Rhinolophus ferrumequinum: one gene and its partner. The protein of the gene in region 2 interacts with the protein of the main gene of each other region in a pairwise test. Links are inferred from orthologs where the notes say so. Each region holds a gene or a part of one and is shown on either strand. Other genes may lie near its edges.

Region 1 (6,876 bases), on a different chromosome or scaffold from region 2:
CTGCGCATCCAGAAGGAGCACCGTGTCAACTTCCCACGCTCCAAGCACCTGACGGGCGAGTGCAAGGACCTCATCTACCGAATGCTACAGCCGGACGTCAACCGGCGGTTACACATTGATGAGATCCTCAGCCACTGCTGGGTGCAGCCTAAGGCCCGGGTCCTGTCCTCTACAGCCATCAAGGAGGGGGAGAACTCCCAGGGCACTGAGCCCTCGGATATCCCTGAGCCTGGCTCTGACAAGAAGTCTGCCACCAAGCTGGAGCCTCAAGAGGAGGCACAGCCAGAGGCAAGGTCTGAGTCACAACCCGAGGAGGAGACGCTGCAACTGCAGGTGTCCAAGCAGTTGGAGACCACAGGCGAGCAGCTGAGCAGGGAGACAGTGGAAGAGCCCCCCGCACAGCCTCCAGAGACGCAAACCTAGTAGGCCTCTCCCACGGCCCATGGGCCCAGCAGGGAATGAGGCAGAGCTCACAGCTTTGAGCCTGAGCTCCAAAAAAGCCAAGGGACAGGTCAGATAAGGAAAACAGACCCCGATGAGTCACTATTTTCGTGTTTCTTTTCCCTCCCGTTGAACTAGGCAACCCCCATTGCTAAAGAAGCAATAAATCACTATATTATTGCAAACCTGAAGGTAAATGTCTTTGACCTGGCTGACTGCAGTCGCCCAGGAGAGATTTCCCCCCTCCCCCTCAGCACTTGGGAAAATATATCTCAATGTGCCCAGCCCTGACTATGACCTGACCATGTCCTCAGGCCCTAGACCAGAGCAGAGAGCTGAGTAAGGAAGATGCTGCTTCAAGAGGGAGGCCATGAGAGCAGTGCTGGGGTGGGGAGGAGACACAGAGAAGACAGGAGGATGAAGAGGCTGCCTACAGAGGATTGGGGGGCTCCACACGGCTGCCAGTGGGGAGTGACCTGCAGAGGGCATGTGGACCAGCCTCTCAGCTTCTCTTGAGCTCCTCACCCTGGTGGGCAACTCAGCTTTTCTGCTCTGTCCACCAGGGGTTCCGCCATGTCCAGCTGGCACCTAGTTCTCAGTGGTGCTCTGAGTCATCCTGCCCTGTGGTCATTTCCTGGGCCCAGGGAACGCAGCCACACTCCAGCCTGCATGTCCCAAAGCTACTGTGTGGCCTTCACAACCCCCTATTCTCCTCTAGTCCCAGTCTGTCCCCAGGGGTGACGCTCCCTGCCAGAGTGAATAAGCTGACACTGGCGAGTAGGAGACAGGACAGGTGTTCTCACAATGCATGCCGGGCAGCTGCGGCCATCGGTGTCCCTCAGAGGGAGCATTTAGCATCACTGGCTGCCCTGCACTGTAGAGCCCTGCAAACCATTTCTCAGGCAGCCCTCACCTCAGCCGTGATGGCCTTTCTCTTCTTCCTCTGCACTCAGCTCTGATGACCTCGTATGGACCTGCAGGGTGAACACACCAAGGGGACAAGAGCCTTCAGACTCACCTCTCCCCCGCCTTCTGCCCAGGTCTTTGTCTTGGGAAGACCCCAACCGCCAGCCCCTTGGGAGAAGTGAGACCCAGTGAGTGCCCTGGACTTGCCCTCTGCAACCCTCCCCACGTCCAATCCACCACTCTGCCTGGTTCCTCCTCCCATACAGCCACCTTCACACATTCTGTCTCCATGGTCCAGTGTATCATGGCTCAGCCTCCACCGAGGCCTCCTTCCCTGCCCTCCCGTCACATCTCATAGCACCCAGTCTGGCTCCCACTGCCCCAGGAAGGGCCCCAGAGCCTGGACTTTGAGGTCCTCCCAGGTATGGCCCTCTCCTGGCTTCCCAACCCCCTCCCTCGCCTCACGTCCCACACATACATGCCATGATCATACTTGGGGACGCATTCCTGCAGCCCTTGCCCCCCTCTCCAGGCTCAGTTGAGGGGCCATGGCCTCCACAAGGCCTTCTGGGGGTCCGAACCGCACTCGGCAGCCAGCCACTGTGAGCTCTGCCAGGACAGGCCAGTGAGCGCCCAGGGTCCGGGCACAGAACAGGCCCCGAGTAACACTGGAGCGGCCACCCATTTTTTTCAGTGAAGACTGAAGGCCCCAGGAAGCCAGAATCATTCAAGTTGTTTGGTGGTGTAGCAGAATTGCAAAGTGCGTGGAGCCAGCTGAGATGGTGACGTCCTGAGGAGAGGCTCATAAACCTCCTCCCTTCGGTCATCTCTGCCACCTGCTACGGTCTTTGGGGCAGTGGGTAGTGGCCAGTGTGTGGCAAGAGGCCCTAGGAGTCTCACTGCAGCCCAGCCAGGAGGTGAGCCTGGAAGGGAGGGGGTGCAGGAAGGCACACCAATTGTATGCTTTCCAGGTAGGGAGGCAGCTCAGAGAGGGTAAACAAGTACCTGAGTCACACAGCATACAGTGGCAGCCCAGCTGACTCCCCCAGGTGACCATGTGCCAGCCACTCCTGTGAGCTGCTCAACCCACTGGGCGCAGCCCTGGATCAGACCCCTTCAGTGACCTCCCCCCCAGGACTTTAGGATCAAGGTCATCTCCATGGACGCTGTGGCCCACAGGGCTCCCTCCCACCCCACACTCTTACCATACTGTCCTTTCAGGCCACCATGTGCGCTAGCAGCTCTCCTCCTCCTGTGTGTGGCTAACTCAGCCCTCAGCCTTCCCAGCCTCCCCGCGTCTGGCCCCGTTTTGTACTCACAGCTCCGTGTTTCTTGGTGTCATGGCAGTCACCACTGGGCATTCACATTCACTGGTGTGACACTGAACCTCCCAGCCTCTGGGCTCCAGGAAAGCATGGGCCCTGTCTAGTTCATCAGTGTACCCCAGCACCTGCAACTGACCCTCAAATGCCTATGGAGTGAATGGACAAGTGGCCACCCACTTTATGGAGGAAACCAAAGCTCAGAAGGAGTGGCCTTCCCAGAGTGTGCAGGTCTCTGGCCCACAGGACTACAGGTTGGGAATCTCCTGGAGGTCCCCTGGTCCAATCTAACACCCCCGCCTTCCAATACAGAAGGAATCCCTGCCTCAGCATTCATAGGCTGAGTGACGCCACCCACCCCACATCCAGGCAGCTCCACTTGCATGACACTGCGAACTGCCTCCACCCCGTGTTCCCAAGAACCAGAGTCCACACTGTCTGGGCAAAGGCAGGACATGAGGGGGCAGAATCTAGAAAGTGGGTCAGTGGAGTCAGACATGCAGGCAGACATGGCCTCCTCAACTGAGACAAGAAGGCAGACATGCAGGGGCACCCCAGATAGAACATGGGGGCACAGGAGAAAGGGGGGTCATGCTACTGGGTCCTGACTGCAAATCATCACAGCCAGCCCCTTGTAGGATACAAAGGAGTGAAGTTCTGGTCATTTAGGCCAACAAAGAGCCCCCAGGAGAAAGGTAGGCACCAGCTAAAGCTGTTAACAATGGAAGTTCTAAGGAGCTGGGATCGGGACTCAGGGAGGCCTGGCGGCTGGAGGGCAGTTGCCTGCCTTGCTGGGGCCAGTCACTCCTGCCTGGCACCTGGACTCTGGCTGCCCTGCCCCTGCCATCTTTCACACAGACCTCCAGATACAGGGAGCTCCCCGCATGCTCTAGGTGCATCCACGTAGCCATGCTCTGGCCACACATCACATCTGCCTGGCACCTCCTGCCCCTCGTCCACCTCGTGGAGCCCTGCTGATCCTCTGTGCCCAGCGCTGTCATCCGCCCCCACCCACCCACACAGAAAAAGGCCTTCCTCTCTCCTCTGAACACCAAGCACGTGGCACACCTGTCCTGGCCACTTGCTGTGTGTGGGCACAGGATGTCTGTGATGGAGGATAAATGAACAGCAGAGCTTCCAAAGGACCTAAGGAGATGGACACAGGAGGCCATGTTTTCCAAAGCAGAACTCCACACTCGTGTCCTGAAAAAGGGTTTTCACATTGTTTCCAGGCGCAAAAGACAGTCTGAGATGAAACGATGTGCTTTCCCAGGGTTCCAACAGCCACAACACGCCACTCCTCACAAAGGCCCAAAGTGACACAATTGAGGACTCCTAAGTGCCCAGGTGCTGGCTCTTAATGGTTGAGGTTCTGGGTACTGCCAGGACCCCCACACCCAGGGCCCCACCCACGTGCTGAGCAGAGCACGACCCTCCTCTGTCCCCCTCTGCTGCCCAATCCCCACAGGCCCGCGCTGGTCTGGCCTGCTCCTGCCGAGTCAAAGGCATTGGCCTCCACTCACCCCAAAGCCCATTCTCTATGTTGCCATCTGAAAACGTGACTTGGGTCACAGATCTTCCTGCTCCGGGCCCTGCAATGCCTGCCATCACTCAGGGAAAAGCCCTCACTTATCTTCTCCCCACCACCCTCCTGACTGGGAGTCAGCCATTCTCAGACCCAGCAAGTCCTCTCCTCTCCTAGGCTCTTCCCTACCTGGATAATTCACTATCTTGTCTACTTGACTGAATCTGGCCCACCCTCCAGGCTGACCCCCAGTCCTTGGAACACACATCTGCCGGTTCAGGGCTCACAGCAGCCCCAAGCCCTGCCTGCCCTCGCCCTCCACACACGTCCAGCTGACTGCGGCAGCAGCAGCAGCAGCAGCACTCATCCACCCAGCTCTCTACCCCAAATAGGAGCTGCTCTTATCCACCGCACTTGGATCCACCGCCGGCCTGGCCAGACCAGGGTGGTCCCTCGCAAGCACCACCCGTTCTGAGGACACAAGCCCTCGACAGGGTTTCCTTCACATCCCAAAGAAGCTGCAGGAAATTGGCCCCAGTGGGACAAGGACCAATGCAGGGTCTCCACAGCCAGGAGAAGGAAACTGACATGGGGCTAGTACCCTGGCTAGACCTGGGAAGCCCCCATCCATGCCTGCCTCGTGACAGGGAAGCCACCGCAAGGAGGAGGAGCAGGGAGGGTTACCATCGTCCCGAGTGCCAGCATCCTTGCTGTGGGTGGGGAGTGGGCGTTCCTGCCAGGCCCGCCTGGCTTCTAGGGTTCCAGGGGCCCTATTCCCCCCAGCGCAGTCCCCACTCCCGGCAGCCTGGCTTTATGACTTCACGTGCTGAAGTCACTTGGAGACAATGCTGAGCGTTCCACTCCTCAAGGCCGGGCCAGCCCAGCCAGACGACTCCCCACACTGTAACTGAGGACAATGCCCGCTGGCCCATGTTGGGAGGGGATGTAGAGGGTAGCGGCGCCAGCCGCTCCTGGCACCATGGACGATGCCGCGGTCCTAAGGAAGAAGGGTTATGTCGTTGGCATCAATCTTGGCAAAGGCTCCTATGCAAAAGTCAAATCTGCCTATTCCGAGCGCCTCAAGTTCAATGTGGCGGTCAAGATCATTGATCGCAAGAAAACGCCTACGGACTTTGTGGAGAGATTCCTGCCTCGGGAGATGGACATCCTGGCAACTGTCAACCACCGCTCCATCATCAAGACCTATGAGATCTTTGAGACCTCAGACGGGCGCATCTACATTGTCATGGAGCTGGGCGTCCAGGGCGACCTCCTCGAGTTCATCAAGTGCCGCGGGGCCCTGCACGAGGATGTGGCACGCAGGATGTTCCGCCAGCTCTCCTCGGCTGTCAAATACTGCCATGACCTAGATGTCGTCCACCGAGACCTCAAGTGCGAGAACCTTCTCCTCGACAAGGATTTCAACATCAAGCTGTCCGACTTCGGATTCTCCAAGCGCTGCCTACGGGATGGCAGCGGGCGCATCATCCTCAGCAAGACCTTCTGTGGGTCGGCGGCGTACGCGGCCCCCGAGGTGCTGCAGGGCATCCCCTACCAGCCCAAGGTCTATGACATCTGGAGCCTGGGCGTGATCCTCTACATCATGGTCTGCGGCTCCATGCCCTACGATGACTCCGACATCAAGAAGATGCTGCGCATTCAGAAGGAGCACCGTGTGGACTTTCCACGCTCCAAGAACCTGACGGGCGAGTGCAAGGACCTCATCTACCGCATCCTGCAGCCAGACGTCAACCGGCGGTTACACATTGATGAGATCCTCAGCCACTCGTGGTTGCAGCCCCCCAAACCCAAAGCCATGTCTTCTGCCTCCTTCAAGAGGGAGGGTGACAGCAAGTACCGGGCCGAGTGCAAACTGGACACACGGCCAGGCTCGCGGCCCGACCACAAGCTGGGGGCCAAAATCCAGCACCGACTGCTGGTGGTGCCCGAGAACGAGGACAGGATGGAGGAAAGGCTGGCCGAGACCTCCAGGACAAAAGACCATCACGTCGCCGGAGCCGAGGTGGGGAAGGCAGGCACCTAGGGTGCTGAGGGCCGGGGGACGTGGTGCATAGTGGTGTCCCCATAAACTAAGTAAGCAGGTAGGAGCTGAAGAAGGCACAGGTGCAAGGAACAAGTAAAATCCGTCAATTAAACCACTATTTTGATTACGTTCTATTAGCTTTCTTCTACTTAGTAGCAAAGACATTAATTATTGACCAGCAAATAAACCACAAAGTGTAAACAAGCATTGAGAGCGCCCCCTGAGGAGTCTTTTTCTCTAGCACTCAGCCGACCACCCTCCCTGCGGCACGGGGGTCTCCAGCGTAGGGGTCCAGGGACCAGTGCTCAGGCACAGGTACTCATGGAGAGGCCTTGTGGGCACGGAGAACACCGCGGCCATGGCCCACCCGCTAAGCCCCACCGGTCTCCCTCTGACCTGCCCGCGCCGTGCTCCAGGGCTGGCCAGGTGCACGTCTCCCACCTCAGGTGCAGCACAGCCCACCCTGACTCCCTCAGAGCTTTTCCTCAGAATCCTCCTGCCCCTCCCCCCTCCCTTCCCCCTGAAGCACCCCCTCCATCCAAGACCTCTGATCTGCACCGTCTCTACGGCCTCCCGATTGCCCCATGCATCAGCCCTATTTTGTCACCTGTCACTCCCCAGGGCACACTTCCCACAGG
Region 2 (7,220 bases):
CCGGTAGGTATACAGTGGGAGCCACAGGTATAAATTTCTATTTATTCCAGGCATATTAAAAAAAAAGTAAAAAGAAAAGGTGAAATTAATTTTAATAATATATTGTATCTGATCCAATATACCCAAATATTACATTTCAACATATTTGGCATGCTTATTTTTCTAAGTCTTTGAAATCCAGGGTTTTTTACTTATAGTACATCTCAGTTGAGACTGGCCACATTGCAAGCCCTCAGTAGACACAGGCCATTCATAGTGGCATTGATATTGGATGGCATAGAATTATAGGACCAGATTTGAGAAAGAACATTTTGGAGCTCAGGGGTTGACCCACTGCTAAGTTTTAAGACCAGGCCACAAACAAATCCACGTTTGGTGGTCTAGATGAGGTTTGGGAAAGTCCATTTTGGTTTTAAGACACAGCAGCTCTGTCTTAAAGGAGCTCATGGATTGAACCATCAAGAGCTTCTAAGACTTTGACCTGAGCAAATCAACTCTCAACTTTCTCCAGAAAAACTGTATTCACCCCCAGTCTTCCCATTTTGACAAATGGGCCCTCCATCAATCACCCAGGCACTCTCGCTAGAATCCCTCCTGTCTGTCACCTCAAACCAAGGGCACAACATATCCCAGAGCCAGCCACCTCCTTACATCACTACTGCCCCGCCCCGTGTAGGCCACCATCACCATCATCTCTTGCCTGGAACTAGGGTTTCCAGGCAAGAATTCCCATCTATTCTCAGGAAATTTTTTTCGCTTTCCCGTTCCCGAATCCTGAGAAAAGTTGGTCAGGAAATCAGGAAAATCGGCTCCTTGAAGCCAGTAATACCCACAATGGGAAATAAACATACTACTCACAATGTATCTCTTAGACATGTTTCCTATTTATCGCTAGGGTTTCCAGGCGGGAATTCCTGCCCGTTCTCTGGAATTTTTTCGCTTTTTCCGTTCTTGAATCTCGAGAAAATTTGGTCGGGAAATCGGGAAAATCGGCTCCTTGAACCCAGGTGGTTGGTAGTATTATTGGCCGTCACTTTGTGGAAACGATTCATCGTGGAGAACAGAAAACAGTTTATATATCAGTATTCGGGAACGGGAAAGCAAAAAAAATTCCTGAAAACAGGCGGGAATTCCCGCCTGGAAACCCTACCTGAAACTTTGCAGTGACGTCCCTTGCTGCTCTCCCTGCTCCCATCTTGGCTACCCACGGTCCATTCTCCACACTCTCCCAGCTGCTCTTTATAACATCAGTCAGTGGTGTCCTTCCCCAGCTTAAACACTCAAGCCACACTGTCCTCCCTCTTGGCCATTCTGACCCTCCAGACACATCTCTACACCCCTCCTGCAGCTTTCCCCATAGCTGCCCCTTATCCTTCAGGTCTCAATTCAATGGCCCTGCTAAGGAGAGAACTTCTAGACTTAGGGATTTAAAGTAAGCTCTCCCTAGACCATATGTTCTCACTTATATGTGGAATCTAAAGAACAAAAGAAATTAACAAACAGACAAAATAAAGTAAGCCCTCCCTGATCTCCCTAATGTGTTCATTCTCAAGCACATTATCAGTGTTTTTTTTTAATTGTAATATATGATAAGGGAAGGAAACTAGACTTTGGGTGGTGATATATGATAAGGGAATATATGATAAGGGAAGGAGACTAGACTTTTGGGCTCACAATACACAGACGTCAAATTATAATGTTGGTACACCTGAATGTTATATGTTGTTATTAACGATTGTTACGCCAATACATTTAATAAAAGAAAAAAATAAATGCAAATAAAATGTTTTAAATTTTGTTATAGAAATTTTCAAATATGCCCCAAAGCAGAGGGTATAATGCACCCCCATATACCCAGCTCCCACCATGGTTAAGATAGACCTTTATTGTTTGATCCTATAACCCCCTCCATGTCACTTCCCCACACCCACGGCATTGTTTTAAACGCAAGCCCCGCTCATCATACCATGTCATCCGCATCACCCTGTTTCTTCCCCGGCATTTTATTAGGAAAATGTCTCAGTATTCAGAAAGTAAAAACAACCGCACAGTGAACACCCACATACCCCCCGCCTCAATCATGCCATTAACATTTCACTCTTTTGCACGTTTGTCCATCTGGCCTTCCCTCCCTCCATCAACTCATTCTGTGTTTTTGATTCATTCACAGTACGCTGCAGACATCAGTGCACTTCCTCCTATGGTAGGTTGAATTGTGCCCCCCAGGACCTGTGAATGTGCATTGTTTGGAAATAGGGTCTTTGCAGAAGATCAGGTTAAGAGAGGTCGTCTGGGAGGGCCCCGAGTCAATGTGGCTGTGTCCTTAAAAAGGAGGAAACTTGGAAACAGGTATAGACAGGGACAGACAGAGGACAAATATGAAGACATCGGGAGAAGATGGCCATCTGTAAGCCAAGGAATGCCTGAGGCTACCTGAAGCAAGGCGAGGGAGGCCTGCCACTGGATTCTCCTTCTCAGCCTCAGGAGGAACCAGCCCGCTAGCACTTCCATCTTGGACTTCTGGCCTCCAGACTTGAGAGACAATGCACTTCTGTGATTGAAGCCTCCACCCCCTCAGTCTGCGGTTCTTTTTTACAGCAGCCCCAGCAGACTGGTACAAACCCAAATTCTTCAATGCCTACCATTAACTAGAGTTCCATGTTTGTTTAGATTCTGTTTGTGTGTTGTTGTTTTTAACTTTTATTTATTTTTTATGTGTGTTTTTCCAGGACCCATCAGCTCCAAGTCAAGTAGCTGTTTCAATCTACTTGTGGAGGGCGCAGCTCATAGTGGCCCATGTGGGGATCGAACCGGCAACCTTGTTGTTAAGAGCACCATGCTTTAACCAACTGAGCTAGCCGGCCACCCCTAGATTCTTTTTTTTTTTTTTATTTTTTTGGGGTGACAATTGTTAGTAAAATTACATAGATTTCAGGTGTACAATTCTTCATTACATCATCTAGAAATTCCATTGTGTGTTCACCACCTGAAGTCAGTTCTCCTTCCATCACCATATATTTGATAGATTCTTTTTTTAATAGGCAAAATTCACATACAATAAAAGGCTTAGGGCCAGCCCGGTGGCTCAGGCGGTTAGAGCTCCATGCTCCTAACTCCGAAGGCTGCCGGTTTGATTCCCACATGGGCCAGTGGGCTCTCGGCCACGGGGTTGCCAGTTCAATTCCTCGAGTCCCACAGGGGATGGTGGGCTCTGCCCCCTGCAACTAAGTTTGAACACGGCACCTTGAGCTGAGCTGCCGCTGAGCTCCCAGATGGCTCAGTTGGTTGGAGCGCGTCCTCTCAACCACAAGGGTGCTGCCAGTTCGACTCCCGCAGGGGATGGTGGGCTGCGCCCCCTGCAACTGGCAACGGCAACTGGACCTGGAGCTGGGCTGCGCCCTCCACAACTAAGACTGAAAGGACAACAACTTGAAGCTGAATGGCACCCTCCACAACTAAGATTGAAAGGACAACAACTTGACTTGGGGAAAAAAAAAAGTCCTGGGGTACACACTGTTCCCCAATAAAGTCCTGCTCCCCTTCCCCAATAAAAAAAATCTAAAAAATAAAAAAATATAAGGCTTAAATCCCCAGTGCACAAATCAATGAGCTTCGACAATGCCCACATGACCATCACCCAGTTTTTATTCTCTTTATATTACCTGCCAACATCTGGTATTTTTGTGTGTTTCTGTCTATTGCCTGCCGGCCCTATCCCAGCTCCCCCAACCCCCATAGAATGTTAGAACCTCCAGGGCTGGGGCTCCACCCTCATTCACCACCATCTTCCAGATGCTGGGAAAGTGCCAAGTCCAGGGGATTGCATGAAGAATCAAGTATGAATATGGGGGGATGGGTGACCCCACAGTTAGCCTCAGGGAGAAGGAAGTTGGACCCCTCCCAAGAACCAGTGGTCCCATCCTTTGTAAGTTCTAAACTAGAATGAATAACTCCATGAGGTTCTGAAGCTGAGGGACACATCGGGGAAGAAACAGAATCCTGGAGGAGAAGGGTTCACTGAGACCACCCCCCTGACCCCTCCATGTGCTGAGCCAGCAGCACCTCCCCCACCCTCTGTACCCACCCCCCACTTAATGAGGCTCAGTGGTTGGGTCCTTTGTGAGGCAGGCTTGTGGGGACAGGAACTTTGAGGGTCAGTGGCCAGAGTAGGTGGAGCGTCTCAGAGGAAGGAGCCCCTGGGAGCAGGGCCCCCACACGCCATGGCTAGCGTGGTGGTGAAGACAATCTGGCAGTCCAAAGAGATCCATGAGGCTGGGGACCCCCCTGCGGGGGTCGACAGCCACTCCCAGCTGGTCCCTGAGGCTCCTGGGGGGGTGACCAGCCCAGCCAAGGGGAATGCGAAGAAAAAGAAGGCTGTGTCATTCCACGGGTGGGTTTGTCGCACCCTGTCAGGGACGGCCCTAATTAATGCCCAGCAGTGCCTCCAACAGAGCAGGAGTCCCACCGTGGGTGCTGGAGGAGGGGAGGGGGAGAAAAGGAGGGGACAGGGAAGGGGCAAGCAAGAGGGCAGTGGGGGAGGAGAAATAAAGAGAGGGGGAGGTATCGAGGTAGAAGGGAGCAGGGACGATGGCAGGGAGGTAAAAGTGGGGAAGGAAAAAATCAGAAGGGGGGACATTAAAAGAAGAAAGTAGGCAGCGGGGATGGAGAAGGAAGAAAGGAGGTGGTAAGGTTGGAATCAGAGTAGGGAGTTGGAGACAGGGAGGCAGGAGGCACCGTACCCCACTGAGGCTACATCCTGACCCTCCTGCCTGTCTCTCCTCCCTAGGGTGGAACCTCGGATGTCCCATGAGCCAATGCACTGGTGCCTGAACCTCAAACGGTCCTCGGCCTGTACCAATGTGTCCCTGCTCAACCTGGCCACCATGGAGCCCACTGACTCCTCGGGGACAGACTCTACCACAGACGACAGCGGCCTGCTGGCACTGCCTGTGCCACCTGCCTCACCCACCTCACCCTGGGCTCCAGATGACCCAGACATCACAGAAATACTGGTGAGGGGCACTTGGCTGGGGGGACGGTCCTCACCCTGGTGGTAGGCAAATACTGAGGAGTTGGGGGACGTGGTCATGTTGGTTCTGGTCACTCTTTAAAGCCCAGAGGAACTGCCTCCTTCTCCCCTAACAGCCAGCCATGAATCTGTTCCATCCTTGGTAAATGATGCCTGCTGCCGGGGAGTTGGTCTTTAGTTCACCCAGTCACTTCCCAATGTCTGGGGTGAGGCTGGGGTCATACGTAGGAGTCATGCTAGGTCCCTGCCCGGGAGAAGCTCCGTCTAGTGGGGGCAACAGGCACAGACAGAGGTAATAAACTCCACAATGGAGGTAACACTGGGGATCCCAGAAAAGGACCCCTCAAAGTAGACTGTGGGTATCAAGGAAGGCTTCCTGGAGGAGGCAGTGTTGGAACTGGGCTTTGATGGATGAGTAGGAGTTCTCTAAGGGGCTCAGCTAAGAATCTGGGGCAAAACTGGGAGGTGAACAAGATCTAAGGGAATTTATAGAATTTCTGACTGGGGCACTGTACCATAGCTTGGTCCTTTAACTCCCCCATCAACCTGACCCCCTCCCAGGCTTCTCCTGGGCCAGACAGACCCTGAACTGGGCTTGACATGGACACTAAGAATTACACTACCAATAACCATGGTCATAATGATGCTAATAAGATTCACTAGCATTTACTGAGCACTTTCTATGTTCTGGGAGCCTCGGTTTCTTCATCTGTAAAATGGAAATGAATGTGTTTCTAAAACGCCTATGAGGTGCCGGGCACTGGTCTAGGAGCAGAAAAATAGCAGCACACAAGACAGAGTTCTGGATATAACCGTACCCACTTCATGCGGTTGTCATGACAATGAAGTGCAGTTCATTCATGTAAAATGTTTAGCACAGTAGCCAGCTGTAAGCACAGAATAAATGTTGGTGGTTCTTATCATTATTTGCCCTCCATTTCACAGATGAAGATATCGAGGCCCCAAAAGGTTAAAGAGCATACCCAAAGTCATAAAGCTTGTATGTAGTGGAGCCAAGCTTAGGAATCAGGGGTAGGGGGTGGGGGCACCCTTCATTGATGGGGACAGTGAGGTCACTTGTGGAAGCCCTGGAAATGGAGGCCTTGGCCCAGCCGGCCAGGGTCAAGGAAGACTTTCCAGAAAAGGCAACACACAGACTGGATCCCAAAGATAAGAAAGGTATTCCCCAGGCAGAAGACAGTGAAGGGTGTTCCAGCTAGGGGTTGAAAAGAACCCGTGTAAGGGGGCTAAGTGCAAGTTTGTCCCTGTGGCTGGAGTGTGGCGTGTAAGAGAGAAGAGGCTGGAGAGGGGCAGGGTACAGGCCACACAGGCTGAGAAACGTCGTGTTCTTCTGAGGGCAATGTGGAGCCATGGAGGGTCCATGGACAGGGGAGAGAGAGGAGTGACTTGGGGTATTGACCCCCTTCCCATTTACTGAGCACCTAGTATGTGCCAGGCACTGTGCCATGTCACTATAGTGGGGATCTAACATTTTCCTCTCTTAGAAGTTCTGTAAGGGAAGTGGTGTCATTACCAGTTTAAAGATGAAAACAAAAATAATTGAGGTCTAGAGAGGTGGAGTGACATCTGCAAGTTCAGAGAGCTTGTAAGAAGCAGGGCCAGGACTGGTGGGATTGACACTAAAGAAAAAGCCCTTTCCTTCCCAGGAAGACTCCTCTGGGGCTGGGTGGGAGACGTGTGAAGAGCAGAGAGAGGCAGGGAGGCCTAAGAGAAGGCTGGGCAAGGGTCCAGATGGAGAGAAGGGAACAGGGCAGAGAGAGTTGGCAGGATGGATGGCCCAGGAGACATCCCCTCCCCCAGCCAGAGCAGTTTCCTCGCTGTTTGAGACCATCACTCACGCCGCACTTGCAGAGGTCTGCCTCCCATGAGCTATTTCTGAGTCACATCCCCCCCCACACCCCCCCCGTGGATTGTGACGTCTGAGAAAGAGCCCTGGGTAGCTGGGATCAAGGCCTGATGCCACCACCAGCTCACTGTGGGGCTGCAGGGGAGTATCAATCTCTATGGGGCTTCAGGTTCCTTCTCTGTGAAAGAAATAATGATGGCCAACACCTCAAGGTATGTGCAGGAGCAGTGAGAAAGTGGACAGTAAGAACATACAGGCACTCAGCACCTGAGCTACACCAGGAGAGAAAGCTGGAACAGGCAGAGAGGAGGGGGCAGAAACCCA

Evidence for each region. The genes of interacting proteins can lie anywhere in the genome.
Region 1: the proteins of TSKS (region 2) and TSSK2 interact in binary tests that used the Homo sapiens proteins (3 or more experiments, as listed by UniProt). The link is inferred for Rhinolophus ferrumequinum from reciprocal best matches to the Homo sapiens genes TSKS and TSSK2.

What each region holds. Positions count from the first base shown.
Region 1 is NC_046308.1:23,772,102-23,778,977, forward strand, and holds TSSK2 (testis-specific serine/threonine-protein kinase 2), read left to right. Parts: upstream 1-4,948; 5' UTR 4,949-5,173; coding exon 5,174-6,238; 3' UTR 6,239-6,366; downstream 6,367-6,876. Other genes in the region: TSSK1B (testis-specific serine/threonine-protein kinase 1), read left to right, coding at 1-423.
Region 2 is NC_046298.1:44,808,193-44,815,412, reverse strand, and holds the start of TSKS (testis-specific serine kinase substrate), read left to right. Parts: upstream 1-4,220; coding exon 4,221-4,390; intron 4,391-4,786; coding exon 4,787-5,012; intron 5,013-7,220. UniProt on the Homo sapiens protein: May play a role in testicular physiology, most probably in the process of spermatogenesis or spermatid development.